Saccharomyces cerevisiae S288C: one gene and its partners. Each later gene encodes a partner of the first gene's protein in a complex. Each region holds a gene or a part of one and is shown in the gene's direction. Other genes may lie near its edges.

Region 1 (3,049 bases):
TGTGACAATGAAATAATCAAATTGTGACATCTGCTGACGCGGGATCGTTCCTTCGTATTGTCTAGATTGTAATCTATATAACATACTACGAATATAAAAGAGGGACTACAAGATATTTCTAGCGCAAACTACTGCTTTACTGTCTCACAATGTCTCTGATTGGAAGATACCTAAGAAAATTATTTAACTACATATCTACAAAATCAAAGCATCATGCCTTCGCAAGTCATTCCTGAAAAACAAAAGGCTATTGTCTTTTATGAGACAGATGGAAAATTGGAATATAAAGACGTCACAGTTCCGGAACCTAAGCCTAACGAAATTTTAGTCCACGTTAAATATTCTGGTGTTTGTCATAGTGACTTGCACGCGTGGCACGGTGATTGGCCATTTCAATTGAAATTTCCATTAATCGGTGGTCACGAAGGTGCTGGTGTTGTTGTTAAGTTGGGATCTAACGTTAAGGGCTGGAAAGTCGGTGATTTTGCAGGTATAAAATGGTTGAATGGGACTTGCATGTCCTGTGAATATTGTGAAGTAGGTAATGAATCTCAATGTCCTTATTTGGATGGTACTGGCTTCACACATGATGGTACTTTTCAAGAATACGCAACTGCCGATGCCGTTCAAGCTGCCCATATTCCACCAAACGTCAATCTTGCTGAAGTTGCCCCAATCTTGTGTGCAGGTATCACTGTTTATAAGGCGTTGAAAAGAGCCAATGTGATACCAGGCCAATGGGTCACTATATCCGGTGCATGCGGTGGCTTGGGTTCTCTGGCAATCCAATACGCCCTTGCTATGGGTTACAGGGTCATTGGTATCGATGGTGGTAATGCCAAGCGAAAGTTATTTGAACAATTAGGCGGAGAAATATTCATCGATTTCACGGAAGAAAAAGACATTGTTGGTGCTATAATAAAGGCCACTAATGGCGGTTCTCATGGAGTTATTAATGTGTCTGTTTCTGAAGCAGCTATCGAGGCTTCTACGAGGTATTGTAGGCCCAATGGTACTGTCGTCCTGGTTGGTATGCCAGCTCATGCTTACTGCAATTCCGATGTTTTCAATCAAGTTGTAAAATCAATCTCCATCGTTGGATCTTGTGTTGGAAATAGAGCTGATACAAGGGAGGCTTTAGATTTCTTCGCCAGAGGTTTGATCAAATCTCCGATCCACTTAGCTGGCCTATCGGATGTTCCTGAAATTTTTGCAAAGATGGAGAAGGGTGAAATTGTTGGTAGATATGTTGTTGAGACTTCTAAATGATCTTTTGTAACGAATTTGATGAATATATTTTTACTTTTTATATAAGCTATTTTGTAGATATTGACTTTTTACGATTTATTTGTAACAATGAGAATTACTCCATTTCTGAACTTCAGTAAATAGCGAGTGATTCTGTACTTTGCGAGAACCGGTGGACATTTGGTATTTTGCCTTACAAGAACAACCTATACAAACGTTTCAATATCTAATTCTTTGTAATCCATTGTTTTACGAGACATATAATGTGATATATAGATGAACTTTACGTATAAAATGATATATTTAAAACTAGCAACTGCGTGCGTAAGACAAACTGAAATAGGCCATTTACGGAAAAGAAATTTAATAATGTCGACTGGAAACTGAAACCAGGAGGAGTAGAAATTGGTTAAATTGATTAGCTAAAATTTACTCGTTGTGGACAGAGTTTGAGCCAAGCGGAATGTTTTCAAGGCTTTCTTTGTTTCGAAGGGCAGCTCTGGCTCCTGCCCCTATGAGAATGTCTTTTAGGACTATTTATCAAAAAACCGAGGATGAATTGCCCAGAAGGATCGTCCCAAAGCTAGCCACATTTTATTCGGCGAATCCTAACCATGAAGATCGTATTAATCGACTCGAAAGACTTCTAAGGAAATACATAAAACTGCCATCTCAGAACAACAATGAAGCACAACAAACAAAAGCTCCTTGGATTTCTTTCGATGAGTACGCTTTAATCGGCGGTGGTACGAAATTAAAGCCTACGCAATATACTCAGCTACTGTATATGTTGAATAAACTTCACAACATTGATCCTCAACTTACTAATGATGAAATCACATCCGAACTATCCCAATATTATAAAAAAAGTTCAATGCTTTCCAATAATATCAAAATCAAAACTTTAGATGAGTTTGGAAGAAGTATAGCCGTTGGAAAAAGGAAAAGTTCCACTGCGAAAGTATTCGTTGTTAGAGGTACAGGTGAGATATTAGTTAATGGTCGACAATTGAATGATTACTTCCTTAAGATGAAAGACAGAGAATCAATCATGTATCCACTTCAAGTGATCGAATCAGTTGGAAAGTACAATATTTTTGCGACAACGTCTGGAGGCGGACCTACGGGTCAGGCTGAATCAATCATGCACGCCATTGCGAAAGCTTTGGTTGTGTTCAATCCATTATTAAAATCCAGACTACATAAAGCTGGCGTCTTAACAAGAGATTACAGGCACGTCGAAAGAAAGAAGCCAGGAAAAAAGAAGGCAAGAAAGATGCCAACATGGGTCAAGAGATAGTCTTAGTGCATCTTGTTACCTCAATTTCGAACGGAAGCGTGCGTGCTCTGAGTTTTTTGACACATGCCAGAAGAAACGTTATATATTTTGCATACAACGCCGCCCAGCATTAGAAGCACAACTCTCGTTCGTTATTCCTGTAAATAAAGTTATATGTATTCGAATATTGCTCAGTTAGTATTTTCTTCTACTTACTGCACATAATACTTCATCTTTTTTTTCCTCTCACCCGCAAAGCAAAGGGGCCTTGCAGCAATGACTCAAATTCCATTGGAAAAAAGAAGGAGATGATAAGATGCAAATCAGAATAGATTTTACTATGACCGTTACATGTAAAAAGAGTCATAATATAAACCATAAATACTACAAATAACACCGGGTTCAGGCATATAAATAAACTATTCTCCTGTAATATCCCACAATATTTTGTTATAACCCAGACGTAATAGCCTCAAGCGAGCATCCCTAAATTTCTGCCATGAAGCTGATCCCAATTATTTT
Region 2 (3,173 bases), on another chromosome or scaffold:
ATGAAGCAACACTCTGAAAAGCAAAGCAATTTCTGGAGCAAGCTCGACTACTTGGGGATTATCAGTTTGATTTCCTGTTCTATGATCCCTATAATATACTTTGGTTACTTCGACCACATATCCTACTTCAGTCTTTTCACGATTGTTACTTTAGTCCTGGCAACATTTTGTACAGTCTGTGTCCTCCACGACAAGTTTAACACTTCCACATTTCGTCCATTTAGGGCCATGTTTTTCATATTGTTTGGATTTAGTGGCTTACTCCCATTGACCACAGGGTTTTTCAAGTTCGGTATCCAAGGGGTTCTTAACAGAATAAAAGTCAGCTTTGTGTTTTGGGAAGCTCTCTTTTACATTTCAGGGGCTGTAATCTACGGGTTTAGGATTCCTGAAACTTTGGCTCCAGGGAAGTTCGATTTCTTCGGTAGCTCTCATCAAATATTTCATATTATGGTGGTTCTTGGTTCTGTATGCCACTTGAAAGCCATTATCGATTCTTACAAATTAATGCATTCTCATATCCACCCTTGATGGGCCTACAACTACTACAAAATCAAATAAATAACATTATATATCTAAGGTTAGAAAATAATTAAATGCAAAAAAAGTCTTTATTCCTTTTTAGATATTCGTCACATCATGCTTTTATCATAGATCGCATTTTGACAGGTACTTCGCTATATTAGCCTAATTAATTTTGGTCTTACTAAAGTGAGTAATGCCGAAAAATTAAACGTTTGAATAAGTGAACCTACTACAAAGGAAAGAGAGGAAGAGAAAAGGATAGGACTAAAAGACTTCCTTATATTTTTCGGTACGCTTGCGTTTCACTGAAGAGAATAAAAAGAACAAATTATATAAATTTAACACACTATGAGCACGAGAACAAAGGCCCTGAATGCATACAGGCATGGCTTAAGAGCAACCCGAATAGCTTTCCGGAATGATGCTGAAGTATTACTAGCCGCGAGAGCTAAAATGCGTTCAGGAATGTTATGTCCCCCAGATCCTAAACTCACCACAGAGGATCAGATTCAACATTTAGAGGATGTGGCTGTTTTTTTGAGACGAAACCTGGTTCAGGGCAAAAAGGTTGATGGCTCAAGTACTAAGGAGCCTAGGTACCATTTGAACATTCACAAAGACACCGAATTGGGTGACAATGAGACGATTGCAGACCCTACGGCAAGAGTGAAAACAAACTTAAAGGCAAGACCATTTAAATGCTCTGATAAAAAGCAATGATAATGCCTTGATTTTGTTTTATCTTCGAAGCTATATACATGTAAATACTTTTTTAGTACCTAGCAACTTTGCTAGGTGGCATATAAACTGATTTAGCACGATATATCGTTGCATTTGTTCTGTTTGTAGTATGTACATGTATACAGCTTGTTGTATTTGATGTGCTACTGAAACAGCGTAGTTGCTAGTGCTTTATCCCTTTTGACGGAAATGAACAAAGCTTTATAGCGGAATTAAACTTAACGAAACTGGAGAAAGCATAAAAGAGGAAAAGGGCAGCGGTAACTCATTAAATAATCTAGTTGGACGAGCCATAATAAGAGAAATAGACGGAGTAGAAAATGCGCTCCTCCATGTTTAGATGTGTGAGTCGCGCTCATTACAGCACAAGTGTCACAGAAGATTTCATAAATAGCATTCTAGCAAGGGCTCAAGAGGCAACAGCAAAAGCTTCCTCCAATGCTCTCAAATTGGACAAGATGAAGGAGGGTAGAATGCAAAATAAGAGGAGAAACGGGAATCAGAATAGGAATAGTATGAACAATAAAGAAAGCAGGGGTAGAGAGGGAAATCAAGGAGAAAGAAACATGAGACTGAAAAACCGTTCTAGTGATTCTGTTCGTGCTAACAAGCAGCAGTGGAATAAAGGTGCTAATACGTCTTTTGTAAAGAATCCTACTGGAAATACAGTAGTTATGCAGCCACAGTTCAAAAAGATGCAGAATGGCAAAAATAATTTGAAAGGAGATGCGAGAGTCGAAGATGATTTACTTGATGTCTTCAATTCGTCGATGGAGCAAAAACCTGTTAATTTCAATGGAACCCCCAAATCTAAAGCAAGGTTTCAAAAAAAGAGTCATATCTTAACAGCATCTAAAAGGAGAAAGGCTCCTCAACAGCAGCTACAGAAGGTTATCAAGAGACCTGTCAGTTCAGAATATGTACTAGAAGAGCCCACTCCTTTATCTTTGTTAGAATATACTCCTCAAGTTTTTCCAACAAAGGAATCCAGATTAGTCAACTTTACCTTAGATAGCTTGAAAAAATCCAATTACCCCATTTACAGATCGCCAAATTTGGGAATCCTCAAAGTACATGATTTCACCCTAAACACGCCAAACTTTGGTAAATATACACCAGGATCCTCCTTGATTTTTGCCAAAGAGCCTCAATTGCAGAATTTACTTATTGAAGAAGACCCAGAAGATTTTCATAGGCAAGTAACAGGAGAATATCAACTCTTAAAACCATATGTGAAAAAAGATTTTGAAAAACTGACGAAATCTAAAGATACTGTGAGTAAGCTCGTACAAAATAGTCAAGTTGTGAGGTTATCATTACAATCTGTTGTTATGGGCTCCGAGGAAAAGAAATTGGTATATGATGTTTGTTCTGGAATGAAACCAATTTCTGAATTACAACAGTAAATCAAACATCGTTATTTCATTCTTACATACCTGTAAATATCTAGTACGTATAAAATTTGAATTGTATGCCTGAACAGAAAAAGAATAGGTGGGCTCTTCTTATCCTTGACTATCAAAATTCCGGCTTAGTTCGTCAGAAATGGATATTTGATTTTTCAACAAACATTTCCGCAAATTAGATTCCTCCTTCTTTTCTTGATACTTAATAAGTACCTTTAAAAGCAATTCGGATATTGTTTGTACGGGAAATACGGAAGGTATAGTTTCGAGGATCTTTAATTGAATATCTGTATCATCTAAAAGTTCAAAATTTCTCTGTAGCAAATTAGTCACTAATTCAACTGAGTAATTCAAAGAAGATATGTCCAAGTATTGTTTCATCACCGCAACCAAGTTCTGCTTGCCTATGTATTTTTCTACACTTCTGAAATCATTAAATGACAAATATATTTTCAGCAATTCTTCGGAAGAAACCCAGTTTGTTAATTCATTGGGGAAAAA
Region 3 (3,335 bases), on another chromosome or scaffold:
AATTACCATAATAAGATATATTATTTATTAATAATAAAAATATTTATTAATAAATAAGAAATATATATATTATGATAATATTTATTAATAAATAATAAATTCTTTATATATAAATATATTAAATATATTTAATTGAACACAATATAATTTTTATTGTATTATTCATTTAATAATATTAATATTAATATTAATATAATATTAGTGAACATCTCCTTTCGGGGTTCCGGCTCCCGTGGCCGGGCCCCGGAACTATTAATATTTAATAAAATATATATAATTTATAATTTTCATATAATTAATATAATAATTAGGTTTATAAATAAATTATAATATATTATAACAATATAATAAAATATATTATAAATCTATCTATCTATCTATATAATATATAAATTTATATATACATTAATAATATTTAATTATAATTATTTAAATATTTAATTTATTAATATTCCCCGCGGGCGCCAATCCGGTTGTTCACCGGATTGGTCCCGCGGGGTTTATATTATTTAAATATTAAATATTAAATAATAATTTATATTATATTAATAAATATAATAAATTAAAAATATATGATTAATTATATAATAATAATAATAATTATTTTAATATTATAATTTATAAAATTAATTATATTAATTATATTAATTCTTATTATATAATAATTATTAATAATAATTTATTTTAAGAAAGGAGTGAGGGACCCCCTCCCGTTAGGGAGGGGGACCGAACCCCGAAGGAGAAAATAAATTAATAAAAGTTTAAAAGTTCTTATATTAATAATTATATAATATTATATTAAAGATTTTTATAATATATATATATAATATATTTATAGTTCCGGGGCCCGGCCACGGGAGCCGGAACCCCGAAAGGAGTTTATTTAATATTTATATTTATATTAATATTTATATTTATATTTATATTCCTCTTAAGGATGGTTGACTGAGTGGTTTAAAGTGTGATATTTGAGCTATCATTAGTCTTTATTGGCTACGTAGGTTCAAATCCTACATCATCCGTAATAATACATATATATAATAATAATTTTAATATTATTCCTATAAAAATAAAATAAATAAATAAATAATAATAATTAATTAATTAATTAATTTTAATAAATATAAAATATATAAAAATAATAATAATAATAATTATTATTTTAATAATATTATTTATATAATAGTCCGGTCCGACCCTTTTTATTCTTAAGAAGGGATTTTATTTTATTAATTAATAATAATATATTAAAAATTATAAATAATTAATAATTCTTTATATTTATATATATATATATATATTTATATATTTATATATATATTTTAATAATATTATGATATATTTTATTTTAATAATATTTTTATTTTTATATATAAAATTATAATATTTTATTTTATAAATTATTTATATATAAATTATTAATAATAATTATTTTTTTTTATTTGGGATTTATATTATTATTATAAAGAATATAATGTTATTAATAACTGCAAAAAATATCTAATATATTATTATTTATAATAATAAATAATATTATAATAAGGATGCATATTATATATATATATATATTTCTATTTATATTAATATTAATATTAATATGTATATATAATAGATAAAAAGTAAAAATAAAAAATAATGAAATTAAAATTATTAAATATAATTTTATCAATAATAAATAAACTTAATAATAATAATAATATTATTATTAATAATCTATTAGATTCATTAATAAATAAGAAATTATTATTAAAGAATATATTATTAGATATAAATAATAAAAAAATAAATAATATAAAAAGAATATTAAATAATAATAATATAAACCCCGCGGGCGCCAATCCGGTTGTTCACCGGATTGGTCCCGCGGGGAATATTAATAATAAATTACAACATTTAAATAATATAAATAATTGAAATCTACAAATTTATAATTATAATAAAAATATAGAAATTATAAATACTATAAATGATAAATTAATTAATAAATTATTATATAAAATAATAACTTTAAAATTAAATAATATAAATATTAATAAAATTATTATAAGTAAACTTATTAATCAACATAGTTTAAATAAATTAAATATTAAATTTTATTATTATAATAATGATATTAATAATAATAATAATAATAATAATAATAATTATTATATAAATATAATAAATAAATTAATAAATATTATAAATAATAATATAAATAATAATTTATGTAATATTTTAAGTTATTATTATAAAAAAAAAGTAACTATTGAACCTATTAAATTATCATATATTTATTTAAATAGTGATATTTTTAGTAAATATATTAGTTTAAATGATATAGATAAATATAATAATGGTATCTTAACTAATTATCAACGTATATTAAATAATATTATGCCTAAATTAAATGATCATAATATTTCTATAAATTATATTAATAATATTAATAATATTAATAATAATAAATATAATAATATAATTAATTTATTAAATAATAATAATAATATTAATAATAATAATAATTATAATAATAATAATAATAATTATATTGGTAATATTAATAATATTTATAATAATATAACTATTGATAATATTCCTATAGATATTTTAATATATAAATATTTAGTTGGTTGATCTATTAAATTTAAAGGTAGATTAAGTAATAATAATGGTAGAACTAGTACACTTAATTTATTAAATGGTACTTTTAATAATAAAAAATATTTATGAAGTAATATTAATAATAATTATAAATTAAATTATATCCCTTCTAATCATAATTTATATAATAATTCTAATATTAATAAAAATGGTAAATATAATATTAAAGTTAAATTAAACTTTATTTAATATATATATTAATAGTTCCGGGGCCCGGCCACGGGAGCCGGAACCCCGAAAGGAGAAATAAAATAAATATAATAAATAAAATAAATAAATAAATAATATATATATATATATAAATATATAAAATAATATTTACTTTTTATATATATATAATTATATATAAATAAAATATAATATAATATCATATAATTATATAAAAATAAAATTATAATTTATTTATATTAAAAATATTAATTAATTAATTTTTTTATATAATTATTATAATAATAATTTAATTAAAAATAAATATCAAATAAAATTATAAATTAATCCTACTTTTGGATCCTATTTATATTTTATTATTATAAATAATTATTATTGATAGTTAATTAAATAAAAATATATATATATATTACTCCTTCGGGGTCCGCCCCGCAGGGGGCGGGCCGGACTATTATAATTATTATTAATATATTAATTATTAAATTATATAAACCGCCCCCGCGGGGGCGGTTAGTTATTTATAT
Region 4 (2,840 bases), 490 kb from region 1:
AGCTTTATATACTCTGTTGATTGTTTATTAAGGGGAGCTGAAGTATTACATATTAGTAACCTGTTGCATCGCACCAAAAAAGGTAGCAAAGTTTCCCGCACACTAGCAATTCTCGTCAAACATACCCTTGAACACCAGCTTTTCTGGCACTATTCTCATTGTTTACTCGTCTGAACTAGTGCTTATATTATCTGTCGTCATACCACTGTTTGAGACCCCCATAGGTCTTATATAAGGTAATGCATCATTCTAAACGGGCGGCAAGCCATATTAAACTATCTATATAACTACAACAGTATTCATATACCTAGTGAGGAGGCCATTTGAAAGCGCATTTTACCTCAGTAGTCATCACCTTTCGAAACGACTTCCTTTTTGTGAGCATGCAACAAGATGGTGTGTTCGAATTGTGCAGTGTAGGATCCGGGGATATCGTTCAATGGTGGATAATCCTGTACTAAACCGTGTCTAACCAAGTTATTCAACGCAAATAAGTATTTCTCTTGGCCAAGTCTGTCTAGGTATCGGCGACAGAACGGTAAAGTCCCAAAGTTGCGGTCTATCGTTTTTAACAAGTTCTTGGCGCTGTCTAACGTGGGCATTACCTGATGGTCTTCAGCAGATCTGGCATAATGAGAAACTTCCCCACCGGCAGTAACATAACCTCTACCAGTAGAACCAAAAGTTTCAATGGCAAAGTGCTCACCTTCCTCCATTTTTGTAGTGTCCCCATTTTTGACGATGGGAACGGATTTACCGCCGTGGATACGATATGGTGCGATACTGTGGCCACATAGATTACGACAAGGTTTAACCTGGTAAGTCTCACCATTGATTTCCACTTCGTAGGATTCCATAACTTCTTGGATGGCTTCACCGATGTCGGTTAATCTCACATCGATACCCGCTTCTTTAATACCCGTGTAAGTAGCGTCCTTTACAGCGGCTAGCAGGTTATCGTATTGTGGATCAAAGGAAACAGTAAAGGCAGAATCAATGATGTTACCGTTTACCTGCACACCATAATCTACCTTCATCACGTCTTCGTATTTCAGAACGGTTTTGTCGCCTGCATTGGGTGTGAAATGTGCAGCACAATGGTTGAGAGAGAGACCCGTTGGAAACCCAATACCTTGAGATTTGGGATCCTCCATCGCTAATAAATTTTCGGCACCTGTATACTTTCTTGTAGTATTTTCGATCATGTCAGCGATATCCATTAACTTCATCCCAGGAACGATTCTGTCCTTGATGGCCCTTCTCACACGACGATGTATCTCAGCACCCTTTCTGACATCATTCCAATGTTCGGCCCTTTCCAGATCCCTTTTCAAATAACGTGATTCTTCATCCGTGGTTCTTTGCAGATTGAAATCTTGATGATAGTCCATCCACGCACCTTCTGGGTACTTTCCATCTGGAAACAGTAATTCAATCTTCTTCACATTGCTTTTCTTCTTCTTCTTTTTCTTGTTCTTCTTCTTTTTGCTTTCTACTGGGTCTGACTCGTCAGCTTTTGCCTGGTCTTGCTGTTCAACGCCTTCATTCTCCAAATTCAATTCTTTTAAATCAGAAGCAGGGGAATTTTCTATTTCAGCGTCTGTCATTTTTCAATACGGTAGAGCTTCTACAGTACTTGTTGATGTAAAAGCCCACTTATTAGCTTCTTGCTATGGCTTCCTTTCTTTTTTAAGTTCGCTTCTTTCCCAAGATTGAAAATAAAAAATAAGTGAGACCAGGTCATTAAAGGTCCCTTGAAGAGTAAAAAATCTGTCAAATATCACCCATAAGAGCATAACCATAATGTTGAAGAGCACGCTGAGGCTTTCAAGAATCTCTCTCAGAAGAGGTTTCACAACGATCGACTGTTTACGCCAACAAAATTCGGATATCGATAAAATCATACTAAATCCAATCAAATTAGCTCAGGGAAGCAACAGCGATCGTGGCCAAACCTCTAAAAGCAAAACTGATAATGCAGATATTTTATCAATGGAAATTCCAGTAGATATGATGCAATCTGCTGGGAGAATAAACAAGAGGGAGCTTCTATCCGAGGCGGAAATTGCTAGAAGTAGCGTGGAGAATGCACAAATGAGATTCAATTCTGGAAAATCTATAATCGTGAATAAGAACAACCCTGCAGAATCATTTAAGAGATTAAACAGGATCATGTTTGAGAACAATATTCCCGGAGATAAAAGAAGTCAACGGTTTTACATGAAGCCGGGGAAAGTGGCTGAATTGAAGAGATCTCAAAGGCATAGGAAGGAATTCATGATGGGCTTCAAGAGGTTGATTGAAATTGTTAAAGATGCCAAGAGGAAAGGATACTAATCGTACCATCAACTCTTGAATATTGTGAAATTTTCGCCATTGATTTCCGTCTTTGTAAATAGGTAATGCGTAACTATTTAGTTAAATTTTTGTATATTTTTTATTCTATGACTTCACTTATCCATTATTTCCATCGTCAAAAAAAGGAAATAAATACTGTTGCTCGAACGAACAGCAAGATAAAGTGGAAACGAAAAGTAAGCAGCTTCCTCAATATGCCGTCAAACGTACGTTCGGGAGTCTTAACTTTGCTCCATACAGCATGTGGAGCAGGCGTACTTGCAATGCCGTTTGCATTCAAGCCATTTGGGTTAATGCCTGGTCTGATAACGCTAACATTTTGCGGAATATGTTCCTTATGTGGGCTGCTATTACAGACTCGAATAGCGAAGTACGTACCTAAATCTGAGAACGCCTCGTTTGCTAAACTCACCCAACTAATCAATCCGTCAATAAGTGTAGTGTTCGATTTTGCCATTGCTGTTAAATGTTTTGGCGTTGGT

The links.
Region 2: MRPS9 (region 1) and RSM28 share a complex: the UniProt entries of both Saccharomyces cerevisiae proteins name them as parts of the mitochondrial small ribosomal subunit.
Region 3: MRPS9 (region 1) and VAR1 share a complex: the UniProt entries of both Saccharomyces cerevisiae proteins name them as parts of the mitochondrial small ribosomal subunit.
Region 4: MRPS9 (region 1) and MRP21 share a complex: the UniProt entries of both Saccharomyces cerevisiae proteins name them as parts of the mitochondrial small ribosomal subunit.

What each region holds. Positions count from the first base shown.
Region 1 is NC_001134.8:533,549-536,597, forward strand, and holds MRPS9 (mitochondrial 37S ribosomal protein uS9m MRPS9), read left to right. Parts: upstream 1-1,711; coding exon 1,712-2,548; downstream 2,549-3,049. Other genes in the region: YBR144C (uncharacterized protein), read right to left, coding at 1-1; alcohol dehydrogenase ADH5, read left to right, coding at 214-1,269; RTC2 (cationic amino acid transporter), read left to right, coding at 3,027-3,049. UniProt on the Saccharomyces cerevisiae protein: Component of the mitochondrial ribosome (mitoribosome), a dedicated translation machinery responsible for the synthesis of mitochondrial genome-encoded proteins, including at least some of the essential transmembrane subunits of the mitochondrial respiratory chain.
Region 2 is NC_001136.10:1,435,344-1,438,516, forward strand, and holds RSM28 (mitochondrial 37S ribosomal protein mS46 RSM28), read left to right. Parts: upstream 1-1,586; coding exon 1,587-2,672; downstream 2,673-3,173. Other genes in the region: IZH1 (PAQR-type receptor), read left to right, coding at 1-531; MZM1 (Mzm1p), read left to right, coding at 874-1,245; CORVET complex subunit VPS3, read right to left, coding at 2,772-3,173. UniProt on the Saccharomyces cerevisiae protein: Component of the mitochondrial ribosome (mitoribosome), a dedicated translation machinery responsible for the synthesis of mitochondrial genome-encoded proteins, including at least some of the essential transmembrane subunits of the mitochondrial respiratory chain.
Region 3 is NC_001224.1:47,266-50,600, forward strand, and holds VAR1 (mitochondrial 37S ribosomal protein VAR1), read left to right. Parts: upstream 1-1,635; coding exon 1,636-2,832; downstream 2,833-3,335. UniProt on the Saccharomyces cerevisiae protein: Component of the mitochondrial ribosome (mitoribosome), a dedicated translation machinery responsible for the synthesis of mitochondrial genome-encoded proteins, including at least some of the essential transmembrane subunits of the mitochondrial respiratory chain.
Region 4 is NC_001134.8:47,022-49,861, forward strand, and holds MRP21 (mitochondrial 37S ribosomal protein bS21m MRP21), read left to right. Parts: upstream 1-1,803; coding exon 1,804-2,337; downstream 2,338-2,840. Other genes in the region: phospholipid metabolism-regulating protein SCS22, read right to left, coding at 1-37, 126-159; MAP2 (methionine aminopeptidase), read right to left, coding at 342-1,607; AVT5 (amino acid transporter), read left to right, coding at 2,553-2,840. UniProt on the Saccharomyces cerevisiae protein: Component of the mitochondrial ribosome (mitoribosome), a dedicated translation machinery responsible for the synthesis of mitochondrial genome-encoded proteins, including at least some of the essential transmembrane subunits of the mitochondrial respiratory chain.